Linked DNA regions of Sus scrofa. The protein of the gene in region 2 purifies or fractionates together with the protein of the main gene of each other region. This does not show direct contact. Links are inferred from orthologs where the notes say so. Each region holds a gene or a part of one and is shown on either strand. Other genes may lie near its edges.

Region 1 (3,991 bases), about 26 Mb from region 2:
GAGATACAGCAGCTATGAAAGCAACCTTTCTATAGTGCCTTTTAAAAAATACATCCCCTCATACAGCACACATATGTGACCTCTTCCATATCTGATGACAACACCTCCAAGTAATAAAATCTTTCTTTATTCAATAAGCAACAGGATCCAAATCTTGATCCTGTCAATAAATATACTTCAAACAAGAAAAAGCTTGGAGAAAGCCGTCTACAGCAGTAGATATTAAACATGACTACATTTTGTCTGAGGTAAATAATGCAAACATGTCAGAAAAAAATACACTTAAGAAGCTTCCCTTACACTTGGTTAAAAAAATTTTTATTTATTCATTAAAATTTTTTAGATTTATGTATTCATTTCTGGCCATGGTCCGCAGTGCCATGGTGAGGGATCTCAGTTCCCAGACCAGGGACTGAACCTGGGCTGCAGTGGTGAAAGTGCCCAATCCTAATCACTAGACCACCAGGGAACTCCCCTAAAAACCTTTTATATGGAGATATTTAATGACAAAAAAAGGAAAGCCTAATAGAAGATATATACTTTATAGATGACTTCATTAAGAGAAAAATAACATAAGAAGACTGAAAAGGAAATACGAAAAAATGTTAACAGTAACAAAATCTAAGTGGTAAGATTACAGCTAAGATAATTTTTTAAAATTCTATGTACTTCCTGCATTCTACAAGCCTTTTCACCTGAGAGAAGTTGACATTCACTTGTCATATGAGCAAACAACAAAGTTCTTACAAAACCAAAAAGGTTCTAAGCTGCTTCCATAGATCATATTTCTAAACTTCAAATACAGCTGCTAATTATTTGCTAGTGATATGGGTGAAAAAAAAGAAACAAAGTAAAGCCTCAGATTTTCACCTCTGGCTCGCCTATAAGAATTTTCACAACTAAAAACTAATAAAGAAATTTTTACCTAAAAAAAGTTCTATGTTACTAATCTTCTGGGATACAAAGTTGGACAGTCTGATTTTTTAAACCATCAACGTAGATGGCCTTACCCAAAAGCCAACTCAAAGAAGTGATGTTCAGCTCAGTAATTCCAAAATGCAGACACCTAATACAGAGCGCTGGAAGTTCTGATGCATTTTAGTGAAGAGCACCAAGAGAAACACCTTACGTGCAGATGAGCTTATTTTATATACATCTTTCCCTCACTTCTTAAGAGCCTAACATCGAATGAAGCTTTGCACAAAAGGTATTTTGCTTAGCCTGGACGTGGATTTATTTGAATATCCGGAAAGCTGTCAAAATCGATCTCAAACTGCATGACGTTCAAGGCACAGAACGTCAGTTCTGTACTGGGCCTCCTTCTCTCCTTTCTTTCATAAGAGCGCCTTTAACATCTCCTAGCTTACATTTCCGGGCCCATGAGTCACTGAGAAATGAGCTCTAAGTTACCCTTAGAATGCCACTCAAATAGCTCCTCTACGGCATTCAAGGATCTGCCCCCCAACTCTTTGGCCTACCCCCCACTGCCCCCCACGACAAACTGCATTATCTACTATTTCCGACTATGCCTTTTTACCTTTGTCCTCTAGCGTTGCTGCTCCTCCAACACACTGCTCCTCTTCTGCAACCCTCCTCTCTCCCAAATCCCATCTGGCCTTCAAGACCCCACTTTGCACAGCCTCGCCCAGGAAGCCTTCAGATTTCTGCTAGGCGGAAGTGATCGATCGGGCCGGTCTTCTCCGGGTACCCTTCTAGCATTTTGTAGTTCTTTCATAGGACTTATCATCTCCTTCCTGGTATCGTAGTCATTTGTGTACTCGCCTTATCACCCACGCCAGAATGTAAGCTCCTCGGGGGAGGGGACCGCGAGCCGGGGTTCACCTTCGAATCCCTCCGGCGCGGACCGACCAGAGCGCCTGCAGGCAGTCAGCGAGCAGGCTGGTTCAACCGACCTCGGGAACGCTCTGGCCGCACAATTCCTAACCAGAAAACAGTTAGGCATCTTCCCGAAATGCAGACCACAGAGATGCTATCTGCCTCCCGATAACAGGAAGTTTACCAGGGGCCAGGAGCAAGGTGGCCGGATCCCTTGCGCGGCGGGAGTGACAGTTGGCCCGGCCCGCACTCGCCTGCCCTCGGGGCTCCGGCCGCGAACGCCCCCATGCCGCCAGCCCCGCCAAAGAACTGCGGAGGGCTTGCAGGAGAGCGTGGCGCCCCGCAGCCCCGGCTGCAGGCCCCTGGGCGCCGAGCCGGCGAGGACGACGAGGGGGGTAGGCTCCGCGAGGGGCCCGGGCCGGGCGGAGAGGGCAGACCGGGCCGCTCCCGCCGATACCGGGCCGGGGCCGCCTCCACCACCCGAGAAAATGGAGGCAGCCCCGGGCCGGTGACGGGCCGGGCAGGGCAGGCGGAAGCCGGGCGGGCGTCCACGCCGCGAGCTGGGTCGGGCCGGGGGTCACTCACGGAGCTGGGCCGGGCGGCTCCCTCTCAGCCTCCGCGTCGTCGCCGTCCCCGTCCTCGGCCGCCGACGCCTCGGGCTGCTCGCTCGGTCCCCGCGGCGCGGCTCGGCCGCTCGGCCCCTCCGTTGTCTTCCGCCCGCTCCTGCTCCCAGCGACAGGATCCCGCGGCGGCGGCGGCGGCTGCGCGGGCGGACGGCGGCCCAGGGGCTCCCGCGGCGGCCGCCGCACTGCTGCGCTCGCTCGCTCTCTTGGGCTGCGGCTACGGCTCTGCTGCGGGGCCCCGCGCCGCCTTCACCCTCGCTTTCGCCCGGCTCCCGGAGGCTCAGTCTCTCCCAGGCCGCGCCGCTCCCCGCTCCCGGCCCGAGCCCGGCTTTGACGTGCGCACTGCGCAGCCGCCGAGGGCGCGACGTCGGGCGGCGCCGCAACGCCCCCTTCAGCCTCGGGCGCCCCCAGGCGGCTGGGCGGACTCGGGCGTAGGAGTCCGCGCTGAGGCCTGAGGCGGAGGCGGCTGGGGGAAAGCGGAAGCAGAGGGGAAGAGTTCCTCTCCTTTCACCTGCCACTGAAGTGTTGGTGCCCAGCCGCTTCTCTGCCTCAGCGCTCTTGCCAGAGGGATCCTAAATCCACTTTGTGCGACCACTTCCTGAACTCTTAACAAAGCTTCGTTTCGGCTAAAGGCCAGGGACCAAGTTGTGCAGATTGATTCCTTCATACTTGCCAGAGACGGATCACTCTCATTTTAACATCCTCCAAGAGAGCGTAGAAAGTGATAGAATGATCACTCTTAATAGGATTCAAAGCCTGGATTTAAACCTCAACTCCACCATTCAGTCACCATAGGCTATTGCCTGACTCCATTCCTATGTTCTTCCACTCTCTCTCTCTCTCTCACACACACACACACACATGCACAAATATAAGAGTACATACAGTACCATAAGTTTATGAGGATGAACGAGACAATGCATTGCAAAGCTCTGACAACAGACTCTGGTACATGAACATGCCACACGTGTACATTTTTGTTTCTTTAATTTGCAATCGAACAGGTGTTCTTGAGTATCTGCTGTGTGCCAGGCACTCTTCTAGATAGTGGAGCAGTGAACAAAAGAGACCCTGCTCCTGAGACAATAAATAAATAAACAGACATATGTATGACATTAGATGCTTTTCAGTGTTATGGAAATTGGGCTAAGGAGGGGAGAGAGTGCAGGCTATTGCTGTTTACAGCGCTCCTGCTGTGAGATATGTGTATGGAAAGGCAGAGGGAACAGCCAGGACAAAGCCCCTCAGGTGGGATACCTTGCAGCAAAACATGACCCCTGGGAAAGGGGAGTGGATGGAGATGAGGGAAGAGGGGAGACCCTATAGGCTAAAGTGAGGACTTTGGCTTTTACTCTGAATGAGATGGGGAGCTGTTTGGAGGGGTTTGAGCAGAGAAAGGATGTGGTCTAATATTTCAAAAGGATAACTCTGATTGCGGTGTGAAGACCAGCCTGAGCGGCCTGAGGGCTTCAGCCAGGACATCAGTTAGAAGTCTTCTGAAATAATCTGGTGATAAGAAGACTGGCAAGACC
Region 2 (2,356 bases):
TCTGAGCCACATCTGCAACCCATGCCACAGCTTGTGGCAACACCGGATCCTTAACCCACTGAGTGAGGCCAGGGATTGAACCCGCAACCTCACGGAGACAACACTGGGTCCACAACCCGCTGAGCCACAACAGGAATTCCCATAAAAATAATTTTTTATGTAATGTTAAATAAAGTGCAAATTAAGAAAATCTACTAATTGAGATAAGTCTCAACTTGTCACAGTTCAAACTACATACTCTTTTTAAGACAGCATATCTCTTCTGTCAGTAAGGTAAAACCACTAAGATCTCCATGTCATCTCCCCTATAGGAGCAAGAATAATCACATAAAGGGCTGGAAGATCTTCTGTCTCCATTGACTCAAATATCAGGTTGTCTTCAATGCAACGGGTTATATAAATAACTCTCTTTGTTTGAGAAAGAGCTTCCCTTGGTGAAACAAATTAGAATCTATGTTTGAGTTTTGTCAAACCACACAAAGAAAATTATTAACCATAAACTCAATTCAATAAATCTTTATTGAATTCCCACAGGGTGCGTGAATTTAGGATCTATAATTTACATAAGTAGAAAAGTGTTACTTCAGCCTTTTAAAAATAAAAAAAGCAAATTACACCTTCTCTATGTATTTTCAAGTGAATCATTTAATGTGAGGCTCAGTTTGATATTACCATAAGGATTAACAGAATAAAATGGGACCATATAAACATTTTCCTTTCTACCAAAAAAGGGTTTGATGCCAGGATAAACTAGCCTGTTGGTGTAACAACAGCTGATCAAAAAGGCTAGAGAATCTGGAAGTAAAAAATGTACTTGGAAGCTCTGTCCTCTGAGGACTCATTCCCCTGAGGGCAGCAAAACGCTGAAAAAAGTAACTGGCTCAAAAATTACATTAAGAGATCAAACAGAAGTCACAGCTTCGGGGGAAAAAAACTGAGAAAAGATGTCACAAAATGCACTTACATCATAATTCCAAAGTTTCCCTGGAGTTATAATAGCACTCTGAACTAACGAAAGGAGCTACAAACTCACGCTCCTTTGAACAGAGTGGTTTTAAATGACAGATTCTCCAGTGCACCAACTGTATTTTCAAGTATAATTCTAGTATTTGTACCTAGCAATACAGAAGAAAAAGCAGCAGGGAGAAAATGTCAAGTATAAAGGACATAAAAGGATTTGGCAGCCCTAGAATTCCCAGTTTAAGTCTTTTTCATCAGGAAAATCACATTCCGGCTCAGTCCAAGGTGACACTGGAGGCAGTGCTATTGATGGCTTGCGATAAGCAGGAGGCAACAGTGAAAGTATTGAACTCTGGCTTTCTTCTTTCATCTGTTAAAGAAACTCAAAATAAGGCTATTGGTACATGAATTCAATACATTAGTTACAATAGCAAAAGTGACTTTCAAAGAAATGTTAAAAGTGTTTACATTGTTTTTAGGCATTTTCACTTAAAAACGCCTCTGATTCTGGTCATCTAAGAAGTAACAGCCAAATAAACGGATTTTTATCAGATTATTTTGCCCTTGCTTCATTTCTAGCCAATACAGAAAAACAAAATGCTCTAATCAAAATATAAACTAAGGATAAAGTAATACAAGACAACATTCCATATTTTCACTCATTTTGTTTTTTAAAGTGGAAATATTTCATTTTCTTTTTATTTTTTTGGTGTAAGGGCAGGGGGGAAAGAGTGGAGCACCTGGGGCATGTGAAAGTTTCCGGGCCAGGAACTGAACCCCCTGCACCAAAGTAGCAACAACACTGGTCCTTAATCCACTGTGCCATAAGAGAACTCTAGAATGGAAATATTTTTTAAAAAGTCTGTAATTGAACTACCAAAAGGGTTTTCTTGATTTTAACTCTATCTTGTATGAAAGTTATTATTAAGAATCTTGGTAATGAAACTGTCTCATCAAGCCAACAAAATGACATGACTTTTTAATAGTATTAAAAAAACATCTAGACAACATAAAATAGATCATCTCACCTGTTTGAAGAAAACATGGGACAATAAACTGCTTGCTGATGGCCTGAAATTTTTTTGAAAAAATTATTTTAAAAAAGAACCTCACATTAGAATATAGATTTTTTTGTGTAAACTATACTAGAACTTAGGTCTAGAGCTCTAAAACCATACACAAAAATTAAAAGGAAAAACAATATATGTCAGGAAGCCAAACTCTTAGCTTCAACTTTGACTAATGAGAAGAATCAATTCTAAAGATAACATTCAATTGGTCCATGACTTAACGTTTATTATGCACTTACTAATTCTAAGGAACTACACTAGGCGTTAAGAGGCTAAAAAAAAAAAAGATCAAAAAGACACACACCTTATTTTCTAAATACTAATGC

What was found. Proteins that work in one complex are often made in the same cells at the same time.
Region 1: the proteins of STRADB (region 2) and CAB39 purify together in Homo sapiens (affinity purification with mass spectrometry; 3 studies listed by BioGRID and IntAct, counting the BioPlex papers as one, with this or other methods). This does not show direct contact. The link is inferred for Sus scrofa from reciprocal best matches to the Homo sapiens genes STRADB and CAB39.

Annotation. Positions count from the first base shown.
Region 1 is NC_010457.5:131,491,384-131,495,374, reverse strand, and holds the start of CAB39 (calcium-binding protein 39), read right to left. Parts: upstream 2,801-3,991; 5' UTR 2,422-2,800; intron 1,656-2,421; exon of another isoform or gene 1,538-1,655; intron 1-1,537. UniProt on the Homo sapiens protein: Component of a complex that binds and activates STK11/LKB1. In the complex, required to stabilize the interaction between CAB39/MO25 (CAB39/MO25alpha or CAB39L/MO25beta) and STK11/LKB1.
Region 2 is NC_010457.5:105,081,574-105,083,929, reverse strand, and holds the end of STRADB (STE20-related kinase adapter protein beta), read right to left. Parts: intron 2,032-2,356; coding exon 1,989-2,031; intron 1,796-1,988; coding exon of another isoform or gene 1,701-1,795; intron 1,331-1,700; coding exon 1,187-1,330; 3' UTR 501-1,186; downstream 1-500. UniProt on the Homo sapiens protein: Pseudokinase which, in complex with CAB39/MO25 (CAB39/MO25alpha or CAB39L/MO25beta), binds to and activates STK11/LKB1.